Rattus norvegicus: one gene and its partner. The protein of the gene in region 2 interacts with the protein of the main gene of each other region in a pairwise test. Links are inferred from orthologs where the notes say so. Each region holds a gene or a part of one and is shown on either strand. Other genes may lie near its edges.

The links. The genes of interacting proteins can lie anywhere in the genome.
Region 1: the proteins of Egfr (region 2) and Sh3d21 interact in a protein complementation assay, tested with the Homo sapiens proteins (2 studies listed by IntAct). The link is inferred for Rattus norvegicus from reciprocal best matches to the Homo sapiens genes EGFR and SH3D21.

The regions. Positions count from the first base shown.
Region 1 is NC_086023.1:143,725,248-143,730,634, reverse strand, and holds the start of Sh3d21 (SH3 domain-containing protein 21), read left to right. Parts: upstream 1-2,287; 5' UTR 2,288-2,332; coding exon of another isoform or gene 2,333-2,363; coding exon 2,364-2,451; intron 2,452-2,634; coding exon of another isoform or gene 2,635-2,725; intron 2,726-2,876; coding exon 2,877-2,932; intron 2,933-3,018; coding exon 3,019-3,064; intron 3,065-3,200; coding exon 3,201-3,301; intron 3,302-3,390; coding exon 3,391-3,477; intron 3,478-4,921; coding exon 4,922-4,964; intron 4,965-5,387.
Region 2 is NC_086032.1:95,541,899-95,546,593, forward strand, and holds part of Egfr (epidermal growth factor receptor isoform 1 precursor), read left to right. Parts: intron 1-460; coding exon 461-558; intron 559-1,222; coding exon 1,223-1,390; intron 1,391-1,783; coding exon 1,784-1,831; intron 1,832-2,627; coding exon 2,628-2,730; intron 2,731-3,381; coding exon 3,382-3,743; 3' UTR 3,744-4,695. UniProt on the Homo sapiens protein: Receptor tyrosine kinase binding ligands of the EGF family and activating several signaling cascades to convert extracellular cues into appropriate cellular responses.

The DNA of each region.
Region 1 (5,387 bases), on a different chromosome or scaffold from region 2:
AAAACAAAGCATGTGAATAAAAATTGAAGTGTTCACCTCAGTTTGGGACCAAACTGCTTGGATCTTTGTACAGCCGGTTTTGTATGTTAAGGAGGAGTTTAAGGCCTTTCTGACCACCTCGTGTCCCCCTTTCTACACAGCCATGTATCACATGGAGTTGCTCCCAGCCTCCCCGTGCACCCTGCTCTTGTCTGACTTCTCCTGGGCTGGGCTTCCCATTCTCACCAGCAGCTCCAGCATCCTGAACTTTGTAGTCCTGCTGGTCTTCAGCAAAAGGAGTGGAAACTGGAGGGCAGTTTCTGGACGGGGTTTTCTAAGAAACTTCTGAATTCTATTATCTTTACAAATATAAGATGAGAAAATAATTTTTTCAATATTTTTTATTAATCTTTTTATAAAATGAAAAGACGCCTATGATTAAGGATGGTGGTTATGGCTGGGTGGTCTGTGGGGTTGTGTGTTTTTGGGTTTTTCCTTTTTTTCTTTTTTAACCTTATGTTTTGGGTTGAAACATTTTCAGATGTTGGGGGGCATTCTCATTAAAGGGTTCTTGTGCTTGCCTTCCGGGGTGGCGTCGCGGTCCCCAGCAGGTGAACCACTGCATCCGTGCATCTGTTGGATACCCACTGCACCCTCCTCCCTCAGCCTTTGCTCTTAGGTTGCCCTGCATACTGCCCTTTACTTTGCTAATTTCAATAGTTAAATTGGTTTTACTTGAATGATTCATGTTTAGGGGAGAGAGAAAAAACACCCTTAAATTTTTGTTTCAACTCCTCCTGCAAATAAAAACAATAAATGAAGTGGCAGATGTAAATGGACTGTGTGTGTTGCTTGTGTGAGTGACCCTGGGGTAGTAGGTGGGTCCTTGAGAAGTTCTTCCTTCTCAGGGAAGAAGCACCTCTTGTTCTCAGTGGAGTCTGGAGTCTGCATTCCGTGCTTTTGACACCTCCAAGAGCCAAACCTAACTACCATGCCAGAAGCCAGGACTTTGGCTTCCTTCGTGGTGGGGCAGGGGTCAAGGCTTCAGTCAGCTGGCTCGGCCTTTGTATGTTCACCTAGAAGTTGACTTTCAGGTGAGCCTAGCCCAGCTGGTAAACCGTTTGTGGGTGTACTCTAACCTTCAGACTCTTGCCAGGCCTTAATAAAAGTTGGTTCTTCCTGCCTTTCCCCAAAGAGAATTTGCAGTAGTTGTCAGAAATCCAACTAGACCCCCGAAAGAGTCAAAGCTCAACCAGCTTTGTTTTGAAGTTTGGAATATACCCGCCACAGCTTTTAAGAGACTGGGGCCACTTTCCCAGCAATGGCCCCACCTTGGTATGTACCTCTCCCACCTTCCCCTGCAGCTAAGAACTTGCAAGCCAGAAAAGAGGGTGGGCTAGGAAACGTATAAAAGACGTAGAGTTGGCCCAGGTTGGGAGGCTTGGCTAAAGTAGAACTTAATAGTTCTATTTAATAGTAGAGCTCCTGGGGGAGCTGTTACCCCAGCCCTGGGCTAAGACCCTGGACTCCTCCTCCAAGAATTGGGGCCCAACCTGCTGAGCCAGGCCGCCCACTCCTAGTACCTGGATTCTGACCTATGACTCGAGTCTCCGCCTCATCTACATCCAGTCTACTACCTGGCGGCCTCGCCCGCCCTCCGCGCACCAATACCAAGTCTGACGGTCAGGCTGTGCAGGGCGCCCCAGAAATCATGGGTATGTGTGTGTGGGGTTCGGGGTGGGTTCTTCTGTACCCAACTTTCCGAAGGGCAGCATTCCCCCCAGCCTTTCTTAGCACGCTTCCGCCCGCAGAGGTCCTGGTCCTGGCCAGATACCGTGCGCAGACGGAGGACGAGCTGAGTCTGGCTCCGGGGGACGTGATCCAGCAGGTGTGTGCCGTGCCCGCTCGGGGCTGGCTGCTTGGGGAGCTGCGGGGCCGCCGTGGTCTCTTCCCCAAGCGCCTGGTGCAGGTAAGGCCCGGTGTGGGTAAGGCGGCACAGGGGAGCAGGAGCGGCCTCAGCCTCGGGCCTTGTACTGAGTCCCACCCCCACGTGATTTTCCCAGGAGATTCCCGAGGCCCTGAGGGGCGTCACCGAGTCCAGACCGCGCTTTCCGCGCCGTCGCGGTGAGCCGGGAACTGGGCCGGCGGGTGGGGGCTGACTGCCCGCGTGGAGCGTGACGGCTGTGGGTGGGGCACCCGGGGCTATTTTGCAGCCCTCTGATTGGCTCGAAGTACAATGCTCCGCTCGAGGGCGGGGCCTGAAGCTACTAAAGGGAGTTCTGGGGTTCACCTCCTCCCCAGTGCTGCAGACGGGGCTCCCTGCTCGAGCTGCTTCCCTGCTTATCTGGCCTAGGTCACCCCATCGACTCTCAGAGCCCCCAAAGATGGTGCAAAGTGAATTTCAACTACAGTCCAGAGCAGGCAGACGAGCTGAAGCTTCAAATTGGGGAGATTTTGGAAGTGATAAAGGAGGTGAGGGGGTACTAGGGGACTTGGAGTGATGCTGGAGTTCTTCACACAGAAGAGAGTAACGTAAGGGGAGGCAATGGGAGGAAGACAACTGGGGAGGAGGTAGTCCTTGGGTAGAACCGAGGATGGACACCTCAGTTACTCTTGGGCAGAACCAGATGCTCCCGCATCCTTCCCCCTCCCCAGATTGAGGACGGCTGGTGGCTGGGAAAGAAGAACGGGCAATTGGGAGCCTTCCCATCCAACTTTGTGGAATTGCTGGACAGTGGGCCCCCAAGTGAGACCGTGACCCTGTGATCCCCTGGGACCAGACTCAACAATCTTCAGTGATCTTCCCAGTGACCCTCCTGACCCTGTGCCCCTTTGACCCTCTCCCTTGACCTGGCTAAATTAGCACCTCCCTAACACCATCAATTGCCCCTCCACAGGCCTTGGAAACACAGACATGCCTTCGATCATTCCTACTTCACAGAGGCCTCCTAAGGTAAACTGGGTCATGATGGGCACGGCCAATGAAATCTTAAAATGGCTTGAGACTAGTCTTACTCTCCCTCCCTTTGCCCCTAATAGCTGAGCAACTTGACCTATGACAGCCCTCCAGATTACCTGCGGACAGGTGAGCATCTCGCCAAGGAGGTCCTCCCACGGTACCAGGTCTCGCCCTGCCTTGTGGGAGGTGAACCAGCTAGGTTGTTGGAGGGAGTCACTGGCTGCTGAGGGAAGGGCTACACAGTAGAATGACCTTCTTTTAGTCTCCTGCCCTGAGACCTGCAGGGTCCTGTTTGACTACCAGCCCGAGGCCCCCGATGAGTTGGCGCTGCAGAAGGGCGACCTGGTGAAAGTTCTGAGAAAGGTACGAGAGGATTAGGGGTACAGAAGAGTAGGGGCCCAGGCAAGAACTTGAGTGATGCTCACCTCCCCACTGGCTTGTTTCCCAACCAGACAACCGAGGATAAGGGCTGGTGGGAAGGAGAATGCCAAGGCAGAAGAGGAGTTTTTCCAGACAACTTTGTCATCCCACCGCCCCCAGTGAGTATGGAACCAGGTGTGGGGAGGAGAGAGGAAAGGCTGTTTTTAAAAAATCGGGGGGTTGGGGATTTGGCTCAGTGGTAGAGCGCTTGCCTAGGAAGCGCAAGGCCCTGGGTTCGGTCCCCAGCTCCGGAAAAAAAAAAAAAATCGGGAAAATGGATATGGTGGTACATGTCTTTAATCCCAGCACTCGGGACACAGAGACAAGCGGATCCCTGAGTTTGAGACCAGCCTAGTCTATAGAGCAAGTTCAGGAGAACCAGAGTTACACAGACAAACCCTGTCTCAGAAGTATAGATAGGGAAATGAAAAATCAGGGATCATGGATTTGCTGGATCACTAGAGCAAGGCACATATAACACTCTTAAAAACAAGAGACAAGCTGGGGATATGGCTCAGGGTTAAAGTGCTTGTTCAGACAGCCCCCCAGAACACATAGAAACGGCAGGTGGGCATGGCAGCGCCTCTGTTTCAGGAAGGGAGAGGCAAAACAGACCATACCGGTGAGCTCTGTGTTTGACTGGGAGATTTTACCTTTAAAAATTAGGTAGAGGGCTGGAGAGATGGCTCAGCGGTTAAGAGCACTGACTGCTCTTCCAGAGGTCCTGAGTTCAATTCCCAGCAACCACATGGTGGCTCACAACCATCTGTAAAAGAGATCCGATGCCCTCTTCTGGTGCATCTGAAGACAGCTACAGTGTAGTTATATATAATAAATGAATAAACCTTAAAAAAAAATTAGGTAGAAAGTGTGGCATGGTGGCCTTGAATCCTAGCACTTGGGAGGCAGAGGCAGGTGAATCTCTGAGTTCAAGACCTACAGAGAGTACCAGGACAGCCAGAGCGACACAGAGAAACCATGTCATGAAAATCCAAAAAGAAAAAAAAAAAAAAAAAAGAATTAGAAGAGTGATCAAGAAAGATTTCCTGGGGCTGGAGAGATGGCTCAATGGTTAAGAGCACTGACTGCTCTTCCAAAGGTCCTGAGTTCAATTCCCAGCAACCACATAGTGGCTCACAACCATCTGTAATGGGATCTGATGCTCTTTTCTGATGTGGCTAATATATATATCAAGAAGAAAGAAAAGAAACTCCATTTCTTAAAAGAAAAAAAAAGGGGGGGTTGGGGATTTAGCTCAGCGGTAGAGCGCTTGCCTAGCAAGCGCAAGGCCCTGGGGTTCGGTCCCCAGCTCTGAAAAAAAAGAAAAAAGAAGAAGAAAAGAAAAAGAAAAAAAAAGATTTCCTATTTGAACCTCCTGCTTACACATGAGTGTATGCATTTTACACACACACACACACACACACACACACACACACACACACACACACTAAAACAGGGGTTATGGAATTCCTTGGATCCAGCTGGAGGGTCACCCCTAGATGAGGCTGGACTTAAAACTGCTGGGACTTGTCCTTGTAGTCTAATTTTTTTTTTCTCGTTTAGATCAGGAAGCTGATCCCACGGAAAATTATTTCTCGGGAATCAGGTGGGTGCCTGGGGAGCATGGGGTAGAGGAAGCTGTTCTACAGGCGAGCCATTGTTTCTAGTTGAGCATAAACACTTGTGGTTCTCCCCCTGGTCTGGTACACCATAGGACCTCCCTCCCCTGGGGGAGGGAAGGGTCAAGGCTCTTGCAAGAACTATGTGAATCCTGGGTGAGTCAGATCGTGTTCAAATGCCGTGTGCCTCTTGGGACTGTGATGATCACAGAGCCCCTTGTGCTATGCCTATTAGTATAGGTGGTGTTGAGGATCAAACCCAGAGCTTTGCACAAAGAAGGCAGGTGCTCTACCACTGAGTGGTGCAGTCTGGATCTAAACCTTGAAGTCCCTACAGATAAATTCTGGGTTGGAAGATGGCTAGGTGAGGAAGCTGTTTATGCAGGACCACGGGGGGGGGGTTGTAATTT
Region 2 (4,695 bases):
ACTGAATGGAGAATGCAGTAACCTTGACGTTTCTGTAAATTTAATCTGGTTTCTAGTTTAGAAGGCTGTAGATTAGGACAAAGAAAATACAGAGGTATACCAAAGTCAGAGAAGTTCAGTAGTGATTGCATACAGTAATACACTGTGGTCACTGAAGATCATAATGCAAGAGTGATTACTAAGGAAGGGCAAATAGAAAAACATTAGCCTATATGTTATTATTACTCTGATGAAAACTGTTGTATAAGACTGGGAACAAATGCACAAGGCATTATAACAACTTCTCATGGGCTTCAAGAACTAACCAGTGTCAGCCATGTGCCAAGGCTCTCACAAAGATTATATGCACTCAGTATCCACATGCCTAACAAGATCACAGCATAAAATGCTCTGAGTAATGCCCTCCTTGTTGTTCCTCCCAGGGTTCTCATTGCTATGCTTTGCTTCACTTCTCTCTCAGGCTGGATGATAGATGCTGATAGCCGCCCAAAGTTCCGAGAGTTGATTCTCGAATTCTCCAAAATGGCCAGAGACCCACAGCGCTACCTTGTTATCCAGGTACCAGGCCAAAGTTGGTTCTTCCACTGTCAAAATCTTTCCAATCGCTCCAGATGCCACCGTGCTAGAGCAACACAGCCCGTGAGGTGTTTTCTTGATAATAAATCCTTTTGTGCATTAGAGCAGCCTCTACTAGATACAATGACTGGATTACATGGGGGATACGTGATGGCTTGCACCCAATTCCAAGTCACCATTGGATCTGAGCAGTCCAACCTGGACCCAGTGCAAACGTCACCTCATATTTTGGCTAATTAGAGCCCTGGCTTTGCTAAACAGAGAAGCAAGACTTCACTGTCAACCTACATGGCTTCCCTCCCCAACTCCTTATCACACCCGTGCCACCTTATACAGCCAATCGGCCTGGCTCTAAATCTGGAAGAACAAGCTCAAGACCGTTTGTCTTTGTGGATTTAAAGCTTCGGTAAAATAATATATGAAAAATACACCTCAGAGCATTGAGTAGTGGATGATAAATGTCCCCATGGCTTCTTTTTCTCCTCTCTCTTAACCCGTTCTTCATGTGGATATATATATCACATGGCTTATACTATAAGTGGCAGACCTTGTAGACAGTTGTTGATAAAGGCCCTTACTCCTATAGCCAGGAAGCAGAGCGAGCTCCATAGAACCCTTTCTAATTCTATTAAAATCTCTGCGTCAGGGGGATGAAAGGATGCATTTGCCGAGCCCTACAGACTCCAACTTTTACCGAGCCCTGATGGAGGAGGAGGACATGGAAGACGTAGTTGATGCTGATGAATACCTCATCCCACAGCAAGGCTTCTTCAACAGCCCATCCACGTCACGGACTCCACTCTTGAGCTCTCTGGTATGCTCTCTCTCTCTCTCTCTCTCTCTCTCTCTCTCTCTCTCATTCTCTCTCCCCCCCCACCCCCCATCTCTCTCCTCTCTCTCTCTCTCCTGATTTAAATTGACTTATTTTCCATTTTCTATATTTTACTAAGAGAAAAATAAAAGAGGTAAAATATAACCAAACAGAACCTAGAATCATGATCAACAGCTAAGGGTTTTAGTTATTTAATTGCCTAGTTTTTCTAAAGCTCTAATTTAAGGCAAAAAAAAAAATCTTCTCTTCAAGAAAACAGTAAACACATTGAAATATTTTTGCTCTATGAGATCCGCCTCCTGCATCCGCTGGAAATGGATGAGAAGGTACCAGTGTACCATGACCAACATTGCTTTCTTTCTTTTTTTTTTCCAGAGTGCAAATAGCAACAGTTCCGCTGTGGCTTGCATTAATAGAAATGGGGTACGTATGGACATGTTATAAAACAGAATCGAATAAGCTACACAGGGAAAGTGCCCATCTTAGCCCGCATTGCACTGGCTTTTCTTCCCGTGCATTCTTTCCCATGCCATGGCTTCTTTGACTGGAGTCCTGAGGCCAACAGTAAGCGATCGCTTATCACAGGATCACTCAAAGTGTGGTTCATTGACAGACAGCGTCAGCATCTCCCAGCAGCTGTTAGAAATGCAGATAATTAGGTCTGCACCAGATCTACCAGGAGGATCTGTGGGGGAGCTGACCATGATGAAGTAGAGTGCTTCAGTTGCTGCCTGCATTGTTCTATCAGGAGCCACTATACGTCACTGATTCAATTTTAACTAACATGAAATAAGATGTAAAATTCAATTCCTCACACATTTCAAGTGTTCAGTTACCCACAAGTGGCATGTGACTACCTTGTAATGGAACACAGATTGGGAGGCATCACCATCCCTACAGAAAGTTCTGGTAGGTGTACTGATCAGGACTTTGCTTGTCTGTAACGCACTGGAGTCACTTTGGAGCGTGTCAGAAATCTCCTTTCCCTCACTCCATTGAATCCCCTTTTCTTGTGTGTTTGTTTTTGCGGCAGAATCTGTGTGGCTCAGCTGGCCTTGAACTCATGCTCCCTGTGCCTCAGTCTCTAGAGGTCTAAAGTCACAAGTGTGTACCACCATACACAGCTAGAATCTGCATTCTAATGAGGCACGGGTGAAGTTATTTTATAATAAAGGCTGAGTGATCCCCACTGGAGTAACCTGGCCTCTCCTTCCCACAGAGCTGCCGTGTCAAAGAAGACGCCTTCTTGCAACGGTATAGCTCCGATCCCACCAGCGTCCTGACAGAGGACAACATAGATGACACATTCCTTCCCGTGCCTGGTGAGTAGCTTGCTCAGGAAGCAGCCATCAGGCCTTGGTGTCTATTGCCACTTTCTCAGGTACAAGCCAGCTGTGACATCCAGGATACTTGAATGAGGCACACCACATCCTGAGGTGGAGACTGTGGCAAATTTATAGACATGGTGAAGGGAATAAAAAGCCAAAACAGAGAGATCTTACCATGCTGCGAAGCCTGTGACAAGTACAGGTGATAGCTGGGTTTTCTGCAGATCTGTTGGCTTGGAAACAAGTGGCAAAGTGTACATGTATGTATGTATGTATGTATGTATGTATGTATGTATGTATGTATATTGTGTGTGTGCATCTGCATATAAAAGATGGATACATGTGTCTCCTCTCTCTCTCTCTCTCTCTCTCTCTCTCTCTCTCTCTCACACACACACACACACACACACGAAACACATCATCCTTTAAACTTGCAAAAACCACTTATGCCCATTGCTTTGAGAAGTACAGAAAATATCACAGGTTATTTGGTCATCTCCATGCTATTCCCAGAACTCCTTTGCTCTTGGATCTCAGTTGTCTCACTGAGGACACTTGCAGCGCTCACACTGAGCCGTGGAATTCTGCTTCAGGGTCTTCGGGTGAAGCTTTACTAACTCACGCGTGCATTCTTCTTCATTTCAGAATATATAAACCAATCTGTTCCCAAGAGGCCGGCTGGCTCTGTGCAGAACCCAGTCTATCACAATCAGCCCCTGCATCCAGCTCCTGGAAGAGACCTGCATTATCAAAATCCCCATAGCAATGCGGTGAGCAACCCTGAGTATCTCAACACTGCCCAGCCGACCTGCCTCAGTAGTGGGTTTGACAGCTCTGCCCTCTGGATCCAGAAAGGCAGCCACCAAATGAGCCTGGACAACCCTGACTACCAGCAGGACTTCTTTCCCAAAGAAGCCAAGCCGAATGGCATCTTTAAGGGCCCCACAGCTGAAAATGCAGAGTACCTGCGGGTGGCACCGCCAAGCAGTGAGTTTATTGGAGCATGACATTGAAGAGGCATTGTACCAGCTACAAACCGGACTTTCCAGAAGCCCAGGACCAAGCCATGGCAGCACCTCTGCTCCTGACAGCCATGTCCACATTGTGTCAAATGTCAAACCCTCAGACTGGCTTTAAAGCATAACTCTGACGGGCTTTGTCACTGAGCCAAGAAGTGGGCCCCTCCCCTGATGCTCTTTGGGAAGTTGAAGGTATATCTATTGGTCTTCGAACTGTGAAGATTCCACTGAAAGGTATCCATCGAGAACATTGTCCTTTTGGAACAGAAGGTTGCCTCATGGTGAGGTACATAGGGGGAAAAAAAACAGACCTATGGCGCTTGCTGCATAGGGAACTCTGGGATTCTTGTCTTTATTGATTTGATTCATGCACTCTTCCATAAAGGAAGAAGCTTGCCCGTAGCGTGTATTACACAGAGCTGCCTGGAGCCAACTGACCAGACAGTTGGTTCTAGCAGCTCTGCATCAAGACACTTCCATGGCAAGATAACTACATGCACAAGAAGTCCTGGATGTGCTCAGCAGGCCACACTTGTACAGCATTAAACCATGGCAGGTACAATAGGATAAGCCACTTTGTTACTTACTGGGACTGGGAGAAGAATGACTGGGTAGAATTTTCCCTCAGACTTACTTTTTTGTATAAATATGTCCCTGATACTTAACACACGCTAGTTTACCAGTGTTTTCTGACTATTAGACTACCTTTTATGTTTTCTGTTTCATTGTTTTGAGTTTTAATATGCTTTCCCGTTTTCATTTCATGAAGTAAACAAACAAACAAACAAGCAAAAAAAAAAAAAAACAGTATTATTATCAAAGAACAACCATGATTCAAACCCATTCGAACCATCAGTATTGTAACCCAAAGCCTTTATCTAAGCTGGAGTAACCATGCAAAAATTCCTAGAAGAAATTTAACCCAAAATTTTTGTCTCAT